Elephas maximus indicus: one gene and its partner. The protein of the gene in region 2 purifies or fractionates together with the protein of the main gene of each other region. This does not show direct contact. Links are inferred from orthologs where the notes say so. Each region holds a gene or a part of one and is shown on either strand. Other genes may lie near its edges. The genes, in order: ZNHIT6 and NUFIP1.

The links.
Region 1: the proteins of NUFIP1 (region 2) and ZNHIT6 purify together in Homo sapiens (affinity purification with western blotting; 3 studies listed by BioGRID and IntAct, with this or other methods). This does not show direct contact. The link is inferred for Elephas maximus indicus from reciprocal best matches to the Homo sapiens genes NUFIP1 and ZNHIT6.

What each region holds. Positions count from the first base shown.
Region 1 is NC_064821.1:135,199,444-135,209,798, forward strand, and holds the start of ZNHIT6 (box C/D snoRNA protein 1), read right to left. Parts: upstream 4,516-10,355; 5' UTR 4,344-4,515; coding exon 3,679-4,343; intron 1,546-3,678; coding exon 1,480-1,545; intron 1,226-1,479; coding exon 1,119-1,225; intron 1,034-1,118; coding exon 948-1,033; intron 1-947. UniProt on the Homo sapiens protein: Required for box C/D snoRNAs accumulation involved in snoRNA processing, snoRNA transport to the nucleolus and ribosome biogenesis.
Region 2 is NC_064832.1:35,298,690-35,308,912, forward strand, and holds the start of NUFIP1 (FMR1-interacting protein NUFIP1), read left to right. Parts: upstream 1-5,656; 5' UTR 5,657-5,680; coding exon 5,681-6,092; intron 6,093-9,634; coding exon 9,635-9,717; intron 9,718-10,223. Other genes in the region: GPALPP1 (GPALPP motifs-containing protein 1), read right to left, coding at 730-862, 5,372-5,459. UniProt on the Homo sapiens protein: Binds RNA.

The DNA of each region.
Region 1 (10,355 bases), on a different chromosome or scaffold from region 2:
CATATATGTATGTATGTAACCTTCAAATTTTGTCTAGTACGTAAGAAAATGAAAGACGGAAAACTAAATGTATTGCAAAGGGCCAAGTCCTGTTAGTTCTTCCTTTAAAACTGGAATCTAATCATTCTAACAGTATTATCGCAGCTACCATCATCTCTTGCCTGTACCAAAACCAATAGTTCTGATTAGTCTCCCTGCTTCCAATCTTCCACTCTTGCCCTCTAAAGTCCATTCTCTACATAGCAGCAAGAGAGATCTTTCAAAAAGCAAAAACACTCAAAACCTTCTCACGGCTTCCATTTTCACTTAAGGTACATTAACAGCCCTTATCTGTTTCTCTAACTTCATGTTCAAAATTCTCCTCACTCACTATGCTTCAGTCACCTCTTATTCCTCAAACATGCCGAGCTTGCTCCTTGACTTGGGGACTTTACTTTTGCTGGTCTCCATCTGGAATAATCTCCCCTGAAATGTTCACATGACTGTCTCTTTCCCCGCATTTAGATCACTGCTTAAACATCACCTCTTCAGGGAAGTTTTTCCTGACTACTCTCAAAACAGTACCCTGAAACAACCCCAGCACACACACACACACCACTGTCATTCTCTTTGTCTCCACAGACTTCTTTATTTTCTGCAGGTGCTTAACTCTGAGATTATATTTGCTTCTCTTCTCATCTCTCCTATCTCCTCCACTACATTACAACCGTCACGAGGGGAAGGACTTTATTTTGTTCAGTAGTGTCTTCCTAGATAACTAGAATAGTGCTGGATCGTGGCAGCCACTTAATTTACTGAATAAAAGAATAAGCCTAACTGATTGAAAGGAATTATAACTGGAACCCACCCACACCCAGTGCCGTCGAGTCGATTCTGACTTATAGCGACCCTATAGGACAGAGTAGAACTGCCCCATATAACTGGAAGCAATTAGAAAAAATACTTACATGTTTATTTCCTATTGGTCTTTTCAAAAAAGTGTCTCTAGAAATATAGTCTGCTGTTCTTGCCACATCTTCCAAAAATCGATAATCTAAAAATTTCAAAATAGAAAAATAAATGAATGACCTAATCCAATGGCCAGGAAACATCAATCTGTTATACATAACATGGCTTACCACTTAGAAGATTCATTTCAGTAAACTGTTGTATTGAAACAAACGCAGTTTTATCTCGAACTCCATTACATGTCAATTCCGCTTTGTGTTTCTTTACACAGGGCAAACTGAAGGGACAAAGAGGAAGTACTTTTATACTTTGTGGTAAGAAGTGTACCCAAAAACCAAACCAAACCCACTGCTGTCAAGTTGATTATGACTCATAGCCACCTTATAGGGCAGAGCAGAACTGCCCCATGGAGTTTCCAAGGAGCACCTGGCGGATTCGAACTGCTGACCTCTTGGTTAGCAGCCTTAGCACTTAACCACTATGCCACCAGGGTACAGATAGAAGTAAAAAGGTAAGTAGTTACACATATACCTGCAGGAATATCGCATACAACGTGGACATCTGTACTTTGCTTCTTCTGTACCACAAGTTTCACACCTACAAAAGCCAACATGTAATTTATTAAATTATAAAATATCAGTTCTACTTATCTATTTATAAACTTGAATGTGATTCAATTACCTGTCACACTCAATTTACAGACATGTAGTCATACTGAATAGAGTATATGCAAGGGTAGGTCTGACAAAATACTTGGTAGCTGTCAAGCATTGTTTGAAAACTTTCCTCTTTGAAACCAAATAGCACTTACATTTCTAATGTTGTTAATAATATGTAATTCAAGAAAACACGTATTAAAAATTTTTAAATCTCATTTTTACTGCTTTTTCTACTATACACAAAGAATGAGATTACTCACTGATATTTTAACTTTTACTTCCTGATAATCTCATACGTGTATGTGTATGTGCATGGGATGTGTATGAATCCAGAAACCCAATCCATGAGCTATGTGTAGACATTTTAAAAGCACACACACTAGAAAAAGAATATTAAACCAGTCAAATTTAGAGAAAGTAGTAGTTGCATCTTTTTTCCTTACTCCACACCCAACCCAGATTGAGCATCAAAACAATCTAGAAATGCTACCGCCCACCACATGTCTTCAACTGCTCTCCTCAGATCTTGGGGTACTGACAGTCGAACTACAGCTACTTCTATTTGACCCACAGTGTTCTACATAGTAATATTCCCAAGAATCTAACCACTCTTTTATTTCCTATCTTGTCACATAATCATACACTATAAAGAAACTAAAAAGCACATCAAAAGCAATAAATATTCATACTACCCATACAGAAACTAGACTCTTGAGTTTAAGTGCATTTTTGTCTAATGGTAACGTAATCATATCTAGCATTGTTGGTTTTATTAGATCTTTCCTCATTTCCACCCTCTCTGAAAGAAATACCAAGCTAAGAGCATATTAAGGTTTTCCAGTCCTCAGACTTCTCATTTCCTAACTTGGCCACTGCCCATCTGACTTATTACCAACCTCACATATTCTACTGAACAACTGACAACATTCAACATTGTTGCTCCTCTATATCCCCGTAACAGGTGCCTAACTCAGGCTCCACGGACCCAAACTTGTACTACTTACCATTATTCCATCCCCTACAGGTAATTTCCTCACTCTATACAACAGAGAACTCCACAGGACCAGACAATACAAACTGTTTCCAACAGGTCTCCAATAATTCGTGAGTGGTAATTTCAAAAACTGTTTACAAAGATGAACTATCAATAAAATCACTATTCCTGACTCAACATGTGGTTTTTATATTGTAAATGAATTGACTCATTTTGTGCATGTACACACAGACACACACATATATATATACTGCCAAACACTGTGATGCATGTTCAGGATACAACAGTAAACAAAAAAGTGACTTGCCTTTGTGGGGCTTAAGTTTATATGGGGAGATAGGCATTAATCAAATATCTCAGCAGTACATAATTGCAAGTTATGATACATGCCCTGAAAGAAAAGTACGTGGAACTATCAGAGAAATTACCAAAACCAAACCTGTCGAGTAGATTCTGACTCATAGCGACCCTGTAGGACAAAGCAGAGCTGTCCCAGAGTTTTTAATCAAGACTGGAGGATGTAAGAGGTTAGAAGAAGGTCAAGAAGGCTTCCCTGAGGTAGCGACATTTGAGCTGAGATCTGAAGAGTAAGTAAAAATTTTTAGAAGCGTGGATGGGGAGTTTTCCCGGTGGAGGTAATGAGCTTCCACAAAAGTTATGAGACAGATGGAACCTGGCCTAATCAAGAAGCAGAAAGGGTTGGCCTAAAATGTTCTCTGCAGATTACATAATTCTCACCATCATGCTTATGAGAATGGGCAGATTTTTGGCATTGGCCACACAAATACATTGCCACTAAACATGGAAAATTGAATTAAGTACTAAACAATTGCCACCTTTATATTTCCCAGTTGTTTGCTTATTCATGGAAACCCTGGTTGCTTAATGGTCAAGAGCTACAGAAGCTAACCAAAAGGTCGGCAGTTCGAATCCATTAAGTGTTCCTCGGAACCTCTATGGGGTAGTTCTGTTCTGTCCTATAGGGTCCCCACGAGTTGGAATCGACTCCACACGAGGGCAACGGGTTTGGTTTTTTTTTTGGTTTACTCCCCCCAATCAGATTTCCCCCCAACCTACCTTGACATGGCCAGTTTCCTCTTGCAGCTCACTGGGGGGCTGATCTCACGCTCTTCCTTCACCTTTGTATCATCCATCACTTCTTTTTTCAGGACATCCTTCTCTTCTTTTACACAAAATGCATCCATCATTTCCTCCTCTTTTATGTTTTGGTCAGCCAACATCTCCTCTTTTTTAATCTCAAATTTAACCTCCTTCTCTTCCTTCACTTCTAGCCAGTCCATAACCTCTTCCTTAACCTTCACTTTCTCTTCCTTTATCTCTGGTTCATCCATCTTTTCTTCTTTTATCACCAAACTAGCATCCATCTCCTGTTTCACCTCCAGTGTGCCCGTTTTCTCATCCTTCACCTCAGGCCCATTCTCCACCTCTTGCTTCACCCACCATGCATCTAACTTGCATTCTTCTATTTCTGACCAGTCTGTTATTTCTTGCTTCACAACCTTCAGGTCCACTCGCATGTCCTTTTGCCTTTGTCCACTTCCTTCTCCTCCAACCCTTGTTTTCTCCATTCCTGTCAGCCCATTCCCCTCCTCTCCACCGCAGGCCTCCGCCATCCCTGCAAAAACTTCCTCCCTACACGACCCGGGTCTTAGCCGCGCCCCCACTGCTCCACTCATGCAATCTCCTCCCGGAGTCCCTTCATTTTCAGCAGCAAACTCCATCAACTCACGGATGTTGACCTCTGCTACCACTCCGTCCCGAATGTGGCCGCTTCCACGCCAGGAATGAATTACCGATCCAAATACCGACAGCAGCACACGTGCAGGGCGGAGCAGCCGAGATCACTGAATTCGTCGTAAAGCAACGCTCCCGCGCCTCAGCACTTCACGACTGGTAGAGCTCTTTACGGCTCTTTGGAGGTCCTCCCCGACTCCTCTGTGAGAAACAGCGCGAGGCCACGCCCACTGTAACTCCCGCCTTCCCGGGCGGGGTTTAGCCACTCCCTATTCCTGGGGCGGGGCCGCCTCAACCCTTCCATCGGCGGAACACCTCCCCTCGCCTCGCCTGTTGTGCAAAGATTGAGGGAAGGAAAAGAAGCGACACCCTTTCAGTTTTGAAATGTGAAGTCCCACGCTAATCTGTATTAACGATTAAATCTAATCTTGTGAAAAAATGGAGGGTTCACCTGATGTTACAATTCTCGGAGCTTCGGTTTCTTCACGTACACACTGCTGTCAGTTGCCATGGAGTTTGCCCACTCATGACGACCCCAAGCACAATCGAACCCGTGCACAACCGAAGTCTTGTGCCGTCCCCGTGATGACTATACGCTAGCATAGGCAATGATAATACAAATCTCTTAGTGTTGTGAAGAATGAATAAAATTGTGCATGGAAATCTAGCAAGGACTGACACAAACTCAATATATGGTGGCTGTTATTACTGGGCCCTTGAGTGGTGCAAATGATTAACTAGCTTGGCTGCTAACCGAAAACCTGGAGGTTCCAGTCCACCCAGAGGCCCCTCAGAAAAAAGCCTGGCGATCTACTTCAAAAAATCTGCCGTTGAAAACCCTGTGGAGCACAGGTCTACTCTGAAATATATGAGGCTACCATGAGTTGGAATTGACAGCAACTGGTTTGGTTTTTTGGTTTTGTGGGATTATACTCCTCAAATGTTGCAGTGTTTTCCCCTGTGATCTCATATTCCCTTGGGAGTATCAGCAGCCTTAGCTCTCAGGTGTATTTGAAAAAGAGGATCAAATCGCTAAGACTTGGAATGTGACTCTTCTGGTCAGGTGTGTGTGTGTGTGTGTGTGTGTGTGTCTGTCTGTCTGTCTGTCTGTCTGTCTGTCTGGGAGGGGGATAGGGAGGAGATGCGGTAAAAAGCCTCAGGGTAGAAAGTCTCTGGTGTCACAATGTGGACTCCTGTAAGTCCCAACCTGCCCTCCACTCCCATGAGGAGAACATGCCCCTTAGGTTACCTCTCTGTAACCCTGCATTTGCCATTCCTAAGAGCTAGTGGAAGCCCTGGTGGGGTAGTGGTTAAGTGCTATAGCTGCTAGCCAAAAGGCTGGCAGTTCAAATCCACCAGGCACTTCTTGGAAAATCTATGGGGCAGTTCTACTCTGTCCTATAGTGTCACCATGAGTCGGAATGCACTAGAGGGCAATAGGTTTTGGTTTTTTTTTTTGGTTACCGTCCTTTGTGGTAGCCAGCTAGACCACTGGGTAAGAAGTAGGCAAAGAAGAACTGTTTCAAACCAACCTTTATGCATGTTTATCGGCTTTCCTGACATTTCTCTTCCTTCTTGGGTAGGTGCTGAGTTGGTAGGTGCTGCTGCTTTTATGCCCCATCTTGCACTGAAGTTGGCTGTAATCCTACCAGGGCAGTGTAGAGTAAAAAAAAGGCACGGAGATTCTATTCCTTCATTCCAACCCCTACCCTTCCATTGGTGTCCTTCTTTGACTCCCACCGCAATGGGATCAAACTCCCTTCCATTTCTTAGGGATTCCTCAGAGCTTCTGAATTAGATTCTGAGATCAATCCTCCTCCTCACAGTTACATGACCTTTTCGGGATTGTATTTGGGGGGGGAGGCAGCCATTTTGTTAGTTTGCTTCCTTTTCAGGAACTGAAAGCTTTCGGATTGAACTTCTCAGCAATAAAACCAAAACCAAACCGATTGCCATGGAGTTGATTCCAACTCACAGCAACCCAATAGAGTTTGAAAGGAGTGCCTGGTGGAGTCCAACTGCCGACCTTTCAGTTAGCAGCCATAGCACTTAGCCACTAGGCCACCAGGGTTTCCTTCAGCAATAGTGTATGGTAATGAATGTTCTGAAATGGTTTGAGGTGTGTCCCAAATATCTTCCCACTGGGTTTCCCATTGTGTTGCTCAAATTCTCCCAGAATGCTGAAAAGTTTCATTTTATTCACAACTTTGAGGTAATGCAGTAATCAACCGCTTCATCAACATCACCTGGTACAAACCAAACCAAGGCCACTGCTGTAGAGTCGATTCTGACTCATAGCACTTGATCAAAATGGGTTTTTGGATCTCTCCCTAGACGTAGTTAATCAAAATAGAGAGAGCTGCTGGGAAATCTATATTTTAACCAAGTATTTCTGTGTAGTGGCTCCGATATGCAGCCATGTTTGGGAGCCAGTAGGTGAAGATCCTACAACTGGACTGTCTGATATGGGAGCCACTATCCACAGTGCCTATCGAGCACTTGAAATGTAGTTATCAGAATCGAGATGTGCTTTTTCCAAAACAAGAAAAGAATGTAAACTATCTTATTAATAATCTATTAGATTATATGTCAAAACGATAGCATTTTGGATATAATGGGTTATATAAAACATTAAAATTAATTTCACCCCTTTCTTTTTACTGTTTTTAATGTGGCTACGAGAAAATTTTAAATTACATATGCATCTCACATTATATCTCTGTTGCACAGTGCTGCAGTAGAAGATGATATTAAAATTCAAATTTCAATGAGAAGGGATTAACATAAAGTGAATATTCAGTTAGCTGAGCATAATTAGTTTGCTTATAATTCGGGTAATTCAGTTAATAAATATTTATCTCTTCAATCCATTCTCCAATCTGAGCATATTTACAAATCACAAATCTGATCATGTGAGTAACCTCCTTAAAACCATTCAATGCCTAATTGTTGCTTTTAGGATAAAGCACTAAATCCTTACTATGTCCTTGAAAAGAGCCCTCATACTCTGGCCCATGTCTGCTCTCCAACCTTATCTCAATTACTCATCCTTCAGATGGCAACTCAAGCACTACTTCCCTGGAGAAGCATTCCTTGGCCACTCCCCTCCTTGGCTCCAGCCTAGGTGGTGGTGGTGGTTGCATGTGTGTGTTTAATTTAAAGCACTAATTCTAAGTTATAACTATATATTCATTAATACAGTAAAACCTGCAAAACAAGAACCTGCGTAAGGCAGAAATCTGTCAGGGAAGGAAACTTAAATGCTATTTTCCACTAAAACGAGCAATAGAAAAGGGGTAAGAGCTCACCCTGTCAAAGGTGGAAAACTTTCGAGACTTGGAAAACAAGGTAGTCCCGTCAAGTTCACAAGTTTCACTGTTAATCAGTTCATCAATACCTTTTAGGCCATGCAAAGGAGCTTGCACTTATTCATACTGTAGGTAAAAGGGAGCCAGATTAATTTCCTGAGCTGAGGTTCCAAGGTTGGAGCACAGAAATGGTCATGGAAGGAACCACAGGTCGATTGTGGGCATGATTATTCTTAAGCAGGGGACCAAAGATTTGGCTGAATCTATTATTGGCAAAAGGATAATTTCAAACAACAAATACATCATGATTCAAGAGCTTCAATCATAATCGAGAAGCCTTTAGAAGGATCCACAACTGCGTCATTACCATTAGAGATAACCAGGACCTGATACGGAAGGCATAATATTTGCTGCAGAGAAGTGTGTGAGATAGATTTATAAAAATATTTTTAAATATATTTTTTTTTAATGCCTGAAGCCTAAAAGTAGCAAGTTTTACTAGTTCTGAAACCAAGCTGAATAAATTCTTACTGTTTTCTCACTTCCATTAAATCGAAAACTTGCTAAACCTATTGCCACTGAGTTCATTATGACTCATACATAAAAACTTTGCCAGTCTATACTAATTAAGCTTTGTACAAAGTTTTTTTGTTTTGTTTTGTTTTTTTCACTGTATGAAGACTTGAAAGAAAAAGACATACTATTTTTCTGTGATATGTTAAATTATGTAGGAAATATTTGGGAACATTTAAAAATGATTTTAACTGTGGATGTTTTATATACAGTGAAAACTGTGAGAGCCAGAACTCAACAGAACTGCCTTGTGCTTCTGAATCTCCCAAATTTTCCACCTTTGAGAGGGTGCAGTCTTACTACTTTTCTGTTGCTCATTTTAGTGGAAAATATTATTTAAGTTTTTCTTCTCTGATAGGTTTCTGCTTTACACAGGCTTTGGCTTTCACAGGTTTTACTATAGTATCTTGTGTTAGTATTGGTAGTTAAGTGGTTGACCCCTCTTTTACAAATTGATAACACTCAAGTGAAAAAAATGGAATGTAATGTTAATAAAGTTCAAATAAAATTTTTATTTTCTAATAGTTCATGGTGATCTCCTTATCCCTATTCATGAAACTAGATTTCTGGTATTTACTTCAAGGAGTGAGAAGTTATCTTAAATTTCAACTCTAAATTTGTCCTGAACTATATACCTAGAAAGTTATTTTTAATGATTATTACTGAGATTATTTTTTGTATTTGTGTGGAGTCCTAAAATTCCACTGCTAGGTAAGGTCTATATTATAGCTCAGATTCCCCATCAATTGCTATTTTCTATAGAGGTGCCACTTTTCTAACTTGGCACTGAATTATGCCAGGACTCTGAATCCAAAGCACACAGATTGTGTAATTATGTACCTAGGCTGAGATGATAATGACTTCATCATACCTATCATAGTCAATTACTATATAGACCATGAAGAAAAAGCTATTATTTTTAACAGGGCAAGGCACTATACGTTGAAAGACTAGCTTATTCTTGCGAAATGATATGATAAAAAATACTAACCCTGTGTGTGAGGGACATCTCATACATTTTGGTCAGGACATGTGGTTTGCCGAAGTGTCTGCTGCCAAAAACCTTGTTCCTATTCTCAAGTGATTTTCTGTGTCACTAGCAGCATTCTCTTTCTTGGTTTATTGCACAACCGTCAATCAAAAAAATTTTTTTTTTTGCTTCCTACAGGAAGAACCACATATATTAGCAAGGACAGAGCCAGGTCTTATGAGGCCTGAAGCTCGTACAATTTTGGGGGTCTTCTTTATGAAAAAAGAACTAAAAATTATTGTACTTTTGCAGACTTTACAGACAGAAATGCATGTTTATGTTACGTTTTGAAGGCTGCTTTAGAACTCTAAAGTTTACATTTATTAGATTTGTGGTAACTCTGTTTCTATAGAAAGTGTATTTCAGATGAAGTTGATAGAATTAAAAAAAATTTTTTCTGTCTGTTTTAGGCTTTATTTTAATGTGCTAAACTATTTTGCCAGTGGGAAATGACTTTTACAGTGTAATTTCTGAATTTGCAGATTTTACTTTTGACTTGTGGTTACCTGTCTCTGTGTAGAAATGTTTTGACTTGGCTATTTGTGTTGTTACTGTATGAGAATTAATGTAACAAGAAATTACAGGAGAAAAATGTTATACTGTGATAATATAAAATATATATATATATAGAGCCCTTTAAATTGGAGCTCAACAAACATGAAATGGGATAAATATTAAGAAAACAATAACTGGGTATGTGATAGTCAAACCGCTGAAAGTCAAGGATAAAGAGAAATTTTGAGAGAAAAACAACATATTACATATAGATGAACAGCAACATGAATGATGGCTAATTTCTCATCACAAATAATGTAGGTCTGAAGACCTGGAATCACATATCCAAAGTGATGGAGGAAAAAAAAGATGGCAACCAAGAATTCCATTCTAGGGAAAATATCCTTTAAAAAATAAAGGTGAAATAAAGACTAAACTAGAGTGAATTCATTACCAGCAGTCCTATGCTACAAGAAATGGTAAAGGAAATTCTTAAAGGGAAATGACACCAGATGATAACATGGGTGTATAGGATACACAGGAAAAAATATATTTACATTTATAATTTTCTTGTTGTAATTATATGTATATAT
Region 2 (10,223 bases):
AGAATTTGAGAGAAATTTAACCCACTCTGTCTCTTGAATACCGGTATTCAATAAAGCCCTCTTACTGCTTACCTCCTCCTGTCTCATTATTGACTTTGCCGCAGGGGGGCCGAACCCACAATTTACAGTAACACAGATTTGCCTAATGCAATATGTTGTCTGATTTCTTGACTGTTGCTTCCATGGGCATTGATTGTGACTCCAAGTACAATGAAATTCTTGACAATTTAATGTATTTTCTCCATTTATCATGATATTGCTTATTGGTTCAGTTCTAAGGATTTTTGTTTTCTTCATGTTGAGGTATAATTCATACTGAAGGCTGTAGGCTTTGATCTTCATTAGTAAGTGCTTCAAGTCCCCTTTGTTTTCAGCAAGCAAGGTTGTATTATCTGTATATCGCAGGTTGTTAATTAGTCTTCCTCCAATTCTGATGTTACATAAAAATTTCTTTTTAAAAGGAAATTTTATAGTTTGTTTAGCCACTTCGATAATATCTTAAAGAAAATTCTTTAGATAAAAACTAACTGAAATTCCAGATACCTTCACAGCTATACATTACTAGAATAAATTTCTCTGTAAAAAGTGAAGTTCGTGATAAGATGCCACGTGAAAAGTTATCTTCCTGTGCTCTATAAATACAGATCTGATATTCCTTTACTGGCTATCTGTTGCAGCCAACTTACACTAGGTTTGCAGGTTGGTTTATCATTTAAGTAAGTGACTGACCTTGCAGTTGGACCAGTGTCATCTTCTTCAGACTCCTGATTTCCTTCTTCGTACAAAGAACTACTGTCCTCATCGCTGTCTGATGAATCCGAACTACTGCTTTTATAATTAGGGGGCAAAGCTGGTCCTGCAACTGAAGAGGATTTATTGCGTACGTCATAACTAACCACGACTGCTCCCATGAACCCTCTAGCTGGCACTTCTCACTCCCTTTCTGCAATTTATAGCACTGGCTGTCTATCATTTGCTATGAACTTTACTATCATTTGCTAATGTTTTATGTACGGTGGTTTTGCCTCCCAATTACATTGTTATTCCAGGAAGGCAGAAATCATGTCTTACATAGTATAACTAGGACATAGTCACAAGAGCTTTGCTAATATTCAAATTTATAAATTTAGCAACAGCATGTAATTTCCCTGACAACATACAATTTTTGTATTCGTTGGTGCACTTGCCAAAAGTCTCATGGTTTTTTTTTTTTTTTTATAGACAGCATATGGTAGACATATTTATGTCAAAGAGTTAACCTGATAATAAATGTACTATTCTGTACCTGAATATATCAAGAATCGAAATGATCTATTCTGGTTTCTGACTAAGAACTACTACTTAAAAAAGTATCCTTACTGGCATCACCATTTTCTTTTCAAGATGACTCTGCAAGCAGAAACAAAATTACAGTGATGCTAGGTTTTACTGTTCACCAACAGAGAGACACAGAAGAGAAAGAGTCACACCAGGAAGGGGATGCCGGGAAAGTGGTAAGGGTCTCGGGCCCCCTCCCAGAGTGACTTAGTCTCACTTTACATCTCAACAAAATGACAAATAACTGCATGATGGATGGTGTCACATAGACACGACTGTCTATGTTGATCCTGACAAGTGATGCTTCAAGTCTATTACCATAGCTTGCCATAGCTCCTAAGCCTGAATATTTTTCAGGATCTCCAAAATATTTCTTAAAAAAAAAAAAAAGGATCCCTGGGCCCTTTCCCCAGATTCCGATTCAACTGGTCTCGAGTGGGACCTGGATATACGATTTTCCCAGGTATGCCACTCATTCAATAGTAATAATGAAAATTTAAAAATAGTAAATATAAGAAAAATAACACGTTTTGAGTTCCTATGTGCTATGTACTCTTTAAGAAATTTAGGTGCATTAATCTACTTACTCCTCACACCAACTTTATTAAGGAGATGTTATTATTTGCATTTTACGGATGAAGAAACTGAGGCACAGAAAGGATAACTAAGTTGTCCATCTTCACACACTAAATAGTGAAGCTGAGATAGTTTGGTATCTGAGCTTTTACCCTTAACTGTTAAACTACTCAACATTCAACAAACAGTTCACACCCATCCTCCAACAAACATTTATGGACTAAACGCTTCTTGAGAAACAAACATAAAAAGAAGCAAATAAGATCAATTCCAGAAAACAGGGATAAGGTAACTGTAGATATGTGGGAGGGTAGCTTTAAAAACAGCAGTCAGGGAAGGAGTCTCTGAGAAGATGGCATTTGAATGGTGACGCGCATGATGAGATGACAGTGGCCATGCGACAGTCTGAGGAAAGAACATTCCAGAGAAAGGAACCAAAACCCACTGCCGTCGAGTCAATTCTGACTCATAGCGACCCTAAAGGACAGAGGAGGACTGCCCTATAGGGTTTCCAAGGCATAATCTTTACAGAAGCAGACTGCTACATCTTTCTCCTGCCTAGTGGCTGGAGGGTTTGAAGAGCTGAGCTTTTGGTTAGCAGCCAAGGGCTTAACCACTGCACCTAGAGAGAGGAACGGCCAGTGTAAAAGTCCTATGGGGGAACAAGCTTGATGTGCTTGAGGGACAAAAATGCCAGTGTGGCTGAAGCAAAGTAAGCAAAGAAGATGAAGGTGCCTGGTACAAAGGGGCTAGCATGTACACTTCGGAGTCAGATTCCTTGGCTTTGAATTCCAGCTCAGCCATGTATTAGCTGTGTGATTTGGATAAGTTATTTAACCTGTGCTATTTTCTTCCTCTCTAAAATGAGGTTGATAATAATTCCAACCTTATATAGTTGTTGTGAAGATTACATAAGCTAAGACATGCATTTAGCACAGTATCTGGCATACACTATGCACTCAAGAAATGCTGTAACAGGCTAGAACAGTTTGGATATTATTTAATTACAACAGGCAGTCATTGGAGGTTTTAAGTAGGGAGAGACATGATCTGAATTACCTTTAAAAAGAAATGCTTGTGGACAATAGACATAGGGGTCAGGAGTAGGGGAGCTGAGTTAGAAGCTAATATAAAGTGGTTAAATTTGCAACAAATTTTGAAGGAAGAGCAAATAGTACCTGCTAGTCATCTGGATGGGAGCGATGAGACAAAAAGAGGAGCTAAGGAAGACTCTTAGGTTCCTGGCATGATTGGCAAGCCAGAGGGATGGTAACACCATTCTCTAATATGGTGAAGGCTAGGAGTGGGAGAAGATTTGGGGGGAAGTCAAGAGCTTTGTTTTCACATCTTAAGTACAAAAGCACACAAAATCGAATCTGTGCTGCTATTAAGTCAGGACAATGGTTACCCTTTGGTTGCAGGGGTGGGTGGAGAGGCAAACAGTAACCGGATAGTGGTCCAAGGGGAGCCTCTATGGCTGCTAATGTTCTATTTCTTGATCCTGATGCTGGTATCACAGGTATCTTCATTTGATGAAATTTTATCAATCTTTAAATTTTTTATATGTATACTTTTTTGTATGTTTACTGTACTTCATAAAAAGGTTTAAAAAATGCAATTTCACCAGAAGCCACAAAAGTTAAAAAAAAAAAAAAAATGGAGAATATTGTTACCAATAAACTTCTTAAAAGCCCAGAATACACTAATGTGAATAAAAGAATAATGTGGAAAAAAATGATATCTGCAGAATTTTAGGGATCTGTTTTAGATGAAACATCTGGGAGGTTATAATGTGAATGGAATTATAGCATAGAGGATTATGTGCTAAAAATGGCCAACTTTGTGCAAGATATTGTGCTTGGTGAAACAGGGAAGTCTTTCAACAAATATCTACCAAAGAGCTTTTATGTGCTAGGCACTGACCTGAGTTGAAGTAAACACTCCTTTCAGGTAGAAGGAGATACACATATGTCTACAGGCACAATGTGTTAAGTGCTTAAAGAATTAAAAAAAATAAAAAAAAGTAAACTGATAAAAGTGAGTCATAATAGAAGTATCTATTTGGGAGATGGTGGTTCGTTTAAAATCAGAAAATACGGTGAACCAGAAACAACATACACATAGGAACCCAGCCACAAAACTTGGTTAACTACATTTTTCTTCAGCCTTAGTTGAATGGAACCTTCCTTGCTAAAAGAAAAATCTATCGCCCTGGAGTTGATTCCGACTCACAGAAACCCTACAGGACAGAGTAGAGCTGCTCCATAGAGTATCCAAGGCTGTAATCTTTACAGAAGCAGGCTGTCACATCGTTCTCCCGCAAAGTGGCTGGTGGCTTTGAACCACTGACCTTTCCATTAGCAGCCAAGCTCTTTAACCACTATGCGACAGGGCATGGCATTTCAATGGCTATAACAGAAATGAGACCTGGAAGGAAAACCTCTAGGTAAAACATGGCCTAGGGGTAATCAAAGCACAAACATTAGATCCAGAAACAGAAAGATGACTCTTTCAGTTTACTTTTCTCCAACTATAGTGCCAATCTCAATCTACTATTTAGAACAAACATAGATATACTTGGAGGAGTCTAAGAAGCATTTCTTTGGCAAGTACCAAATGCCTACTATGTGTTTAGGTTGGAATTCCACAGTGCAGTGGTGGAGACAGATATGCTAACAAATAATTCAAATACAATGCATTAAATATGTGATGGAATTAAGTAGGGAAAACCTATGGGCAAAGAGGAAGGTGTGACAATGCTTGGGAGGGTTTGGAAAGGCTTCATTAAGATGACACCCAAGTTGGAGGTCTTGAAGGATGAGTAGGAATTTGTCAGGTGTGTAACGAAGTGCAGGAGAATAAGGGCAGAAGGAGCCTAGAGCACTGAGGAACTGTACAGAAACGTGGTCTGGCTTGAACACTGAGCGCGCACGCGTGTGTGACATAAAAACAAAATGAGAGGTTAGGAAAACGGGGTTGGGGCTAGAGAGCCAAGAGTCTTCTGGGAAAGCCAAGAGTCTCGTCCTCAGAAGGCAATAAATACGGCACAGAGGTTAGGAGCACAGGCTCCACTGTTCCAATTCGGGCTCCACCACTTACTAGCTGTGTGATCTGGGCACCCGTTGGATCCTTGGTTTCTCTGTTTGTAACATGGGAATGACAATAATTTTTACCTAGTTCCCGAAAGTATTAAATTATTGAACATGTGTCGACCGTTCAGTACAGCGTCCGGCTCATATTAAGCGCTAAATGAAAATACATCATCGTTATGATTACCAGGCCAAAGCTCGCGCAACGCACCCTACTTTCTGAGGAGGCCCCCACGACCACCTCCCTACTGCTAGGGCTTGGGAGGGAAAGTTGGCTGCGCTCACTCCCAGCGGCTCCGTCCTCCCACTCAGGCCTCTCCTCAGAGAGCCAGCCCCGGCCAGAGAGGTGGTGGACAGGCCTGGCGGGCAGGGGACACGCCGCCGCTTACCCGGGCTCGGGTCCCTCTCCTCGTCCTCCGCTGTCCCGCGGGCGTTGAAGCCGGGCGGGAGCGCCGGCCCGATCAGGTCTCTCGCCATCCGCGGTGGCAGGAGCTAATCACGCACACAAATCTGTTCGCGCGGAATGAAACCCACCCAAAAGGCAGCCCGCGATCCGTCACCGATGCCGGAAGTTTTTCCGGCGCTGACAAATGACGTTTCGATTTGTGGTTGGCTGTGCCGTATAATACAAGATAACGGAAGTGACGCTAAAAGCTTGTTCCGCATTCGCCTGCAAGAGTTTCCACCTGGTGGGTCGCATGGCTGAATCCGCGAGCGGTTTCGTGACTCCGTCGGGATGGATTCCACCCCCCGAGTTGACTCCCACGTTGGGGCCTCTGAATAACACTACCCCGATGCGGGACAACTGGATGCTCTGGGCAATGATGCCGCCGCCGCCACCTCCGTCGTCTCATCCTACACCCGGATCAGGGCTTTCCTCGGAGTCACAGCCCTCCCGGGAGGTCCAGGCGCTCCCCGGGGTGCCGCCCCCCTTCGACGCCCAGCTTCTTCCCGGGGCGCAGCCCCCCTTCGACGCCCAGTCCCCTCTTGATTCTCAGCCTCAACTCAACGTCCAGCCTTTCTGGAATTACCAGGCTTCGACATCGTGGTACTGGAGACAGCCTCCTGATGATACTTTTCCTAAGCATCAGAAGTCCCACAACTCTTCTGGTAGGCTGTTTTTCCTTGTGGTATCACCCCTTTCTTCTCTCTCCCATTTCTCCATTTTCTCTCTCTACATCTGGTTCTTCTCTGCACTCTTGGAGTCTGGTCATTAGTGTCCCATACCGTGTACGACTGGTATGTTTTTCCCGCTTGTTCATTTACTGTAGCAGATTTGTATTGAGTTCTCACTATGTACCAGTAACTGGAAACAGCAGTGGACAGAACATACAAAAATCCTTGTTTGTGGAGCGTAACAGCTCCCTAGTGTGGGAAGACAGACAATAATCAAAATATTTACGTTGTGTATTAGAAGATGAAAAGTGTTCTTTTTTTGGAAAGAGGTGAAGCAGTAAAGAATGATAGGTAGAGCGAATTTAAATAGGCTGGTCATAGAAGGCCTCATAAGGAAGGCAACATTTGAGCAAAGACTTCAGGGATCAGAGCCACAGATATATGGGGGGGGGGGGGGAGGCATATAGGCAAGTGCAGAAGCCTTGGGGCAAATGCTGTAAAACAGAATGGATAAGATCAATCTGACTAGAAAGAACAGAATTCGTGGTAGAATTGTAGAAGATGAAGAAAGAGGGCTGACCTTGAAGGGCCTTGTAGACCATTAATGGAACTTTGACTTATACTCTTGTGAGATGGGTAGCCATTGATAGGTTTTGTGGAAAAGAGTGACATGATTTGATTTATGTAGTAGAAGGATTAATCTGGCTGGTGTGATAGGAACTGAGTGTAAGGGAGATTGGCAAGATCGTTAAAATTACCCAAGCGAGAGATAGGACCAGGATAGAGCTCTGGAGGTAATGAGAAGTAGTCAGATTGCAGATATATTTGGAAGGTAGGGCCAACATGATTTGCTAAAGGATTAAATGAGGAGTGTGAGATAAAGAAGAGGCAAGGATGACTTAAGGTATTTTGCCAGACAAAAAAGGAACTGAGATGGGGAAGGATATGGATGGAACAGATTTGGAAGGGTAGGCCAGGAGTTGAGTTTGGAATATGTTAGCGCCAAGAAGAGCTACATGTAGACTGTTAGCTATGAGTCCGTACTTTCAATGGAGATGTGTGTGGCACTATAAATTTGGGCATCATCAGCATATAGATGATATTTAAAGCCATGTGCTAGTTAATTCTGCATGAGGTTCAATTTAGGCTAAGTGGAATTCAAATGTGTACTTAATTGATATCATACTGTATGCCAAATGGTGGAGATATGAGTGGGACTAAGACAGTCCAAAGACAGGTGATAAAGTTTCATAAATACAAATCACAATGCAGTGCGACTGGTGATACCAAACCAAACCCATTGTTGTCGAGTTGATTCCGACGCACAGTGACCCTATAGGGCGGAATAGAGCTGCCCCATAGGGTTTCCAGGGAGTGGCTGGTGGATTCGAACTGCCGACCTTTTGGTTAGCAGCCAAGCCGTTAACCACTGTGCCACCAGGGCTCCTGACTGGTGACAGAGGCACGTAAAAGATGATTTCAGAGTGCAGAGGAAATTGGGGAAAGCTTTTGCAGGAAGTGTCTTAGGAGCTGTGTAGGATCTGGAGGATGTACTTTCTCTGCGGAGGCAAACAGTTGTCAGTACAAGGTGGGCTCTGTAGATTGCAGTGTTCTAGTGTGACTGAGATGGCAGTGATGCCAGTGGTCATGCTAGAAGTCTTACCTCCCATGCAGGGGACCTGGGTTTGATGCCCAGCCAATGAACCTCAAGTGCAAGCAACCACTTGTCTGTCAGTGGAGGTTTGTGTGTTGCTGTGATGCCGATCAGGTTTCAGCTGAGCTTCCAGACTAAGACAGATTAGGAAGAAAGGCCTGGCCATCTACATTCAAAACTCAGCCAGTGAAAACCCTATGGATCACAGTGGCCTGCCGAATCTGCAACCCATTGTGGGGGTGGTGTAGGACTGGACAGCGTTTTGTTCTGTTGTGTACGGGGTTGCCGTGAACGAGGGGTGGGGACAACTCAAAGGCAGCTAACGAGTGTGATTGCATCGGATTATGTAGTGGTGGGGTGCGGGGGCGGGGATGTGTAAGGGAGGGTGAGAAAATGAACTGGAATCTCAATGAAGGACTCAAGGAAGCTATTTGCAGATTTTTGAACAGGGCAGTGACATGATTGGAGACTATTTTTGTGGTGTTGGTCTACAGGGTCAGTTGAAGAGGAAAGGCTTAAGAACTGGAAGACAGTCTAGGAAGTTATAATAGTAATCTAGGTGAAAGATCAGAGTTTCTGAGTTGGATGATGGCAGTGATAATGGAAAGAGGCAGTGGGATTTGAGAGAAGATGTGTTTTACAAGGCTGTGTTTTCTTGATATTAGATTGATGCTGGAATAACTGTATCAGGGATTTCATTTTAATATTTGAAATAACTGCAAGGAATTTCATTTGGTAAGATTATCCATTTCTGTACTTAGAGATACCTAAATCCATTCCACTGCTGTTGAGTTGATTCCGACTCATAGTGACCCCATAGTGTTCCCAAGGCTGTAAATCTGTGGAAGCAGACTGCCACAACTTTCTCCTGAAAAGCTGCTGATGGAGCCTGAGACCAGAAGAACTAGGTGGTGCCCGGCTACAACCAATGACTGCCTTGACAGGGAACACAACAGAGAACCCCTGAGGGAGCAGGACAGCAGTGGGATACAGACCTCAAATTCTGATAAAAAGGGCAGACTTAATGGTCTGATTGAGACTAGAAGGCCCCAGAAGTCATGGTCCCCAGATCTTGTGTTAGCCCAAGACAGGAACCATTCCCAAAGCTAACTCTTCAGACAGGGATTGGACTGGACTATGGGATAGAAAATGATACTGATAAAGAGTGGGCTTCTTGGATCAAGTAGACACATGAGACTCTGTGGGCAGCTCCTGTCTGGAGAAGAGATGAGAGGGCAGAGGGGGTCAGAAGCTGGCAAAATGGACACGAAAATAGAGAGTGGAGGGACGGAGTGTGCTGTCTCATTAGTGAGGGAGAGCAATTAGGAGCGTATAACAAAGTGTATTTAAGTTTTTGTATGAGAGACTGACTTGGTTTGTAAACTTCCACTTAAAGCCAATAAAAATTAAAAAAAAAAAAAAGCCGCTGATTGTTTCGAACCGTCCACCTTTCTGTTAGCAGTTGATTGCTTTGACCACTATGCCACCAGGGCCCCCTAAACCCGTTGCCATCGAGTTGATTCCAACTCATAGCGAGCCTGTAGGACAGAGTAGAACTGCCCTGTAGGTCTTCCAAGGAGCAGCATGTGGATTCGAACTGCCGACCTTTTGATTAGCAGCCATAGCTCTTAACCAGTGTGCCACCAGGGCTCCAGATGCCTAAATAGGGGCATGTAATCTCATCAGTTTTTATTCATTTGAAAAATGTTTATTTGGTAGACTTGTCTTATTTTTGTTAATTTATTTGAATTTGGACTGCTATTCTTCCTAGAAGGACTAGTTTAGCAGAGCTTTTCTTTAGATATTTGTAACTTTTTTAGCAAATAAAATTTTAAACGATTGTGTGGTTCCAAACATTGATAGATCTCTTTGTTTTTTTCAGTTGAACATTCCTTTTTTCCACGAAAATATGATGCAAATGGCAATGATTTCAACTTCCCTCCCAGTAGAAAACAGAAAAAAAAGGTATTTTTTAAGATGTTCTTGAATGTGACACCTTAGTCCCTTTGTCACTTTTTCATGTCGTGCATTTCTCTCATAACTATCTCAGTGTTTTGCATCCATTATTGATGCAGCAGAGCTTTGCTCTAATAGGATCTTATCTGTAGGTAAAAGCTTTAAACAAAATCTGTGTGAGGAAAAAAAAGGGAGAAATTGTGCAGAAAGGACTGATAGAAAGCATGAATCCATTTCGTTATACAATCAAGAGTAAAAATAACTACGAGTTACGATTATAGAATGAGGCAAATATTGTTAAACCTTGACAAAGTAAGCAATAATATTACTAGTAGATTAGGAGAGGAAGGAGGAAATTTAAGGAGGATAGAACTGTAAGTTTTTTATTTTATGAAATTGGAAGCATGAAATTAAGAATAAACTATAATGACACAAACCTTTTGTTTTTTCATAATTTTTCTTTTTAACATAGGTCATTTAGGAAATTATGTTCTGTGTTTAAAAAAATACTTCCT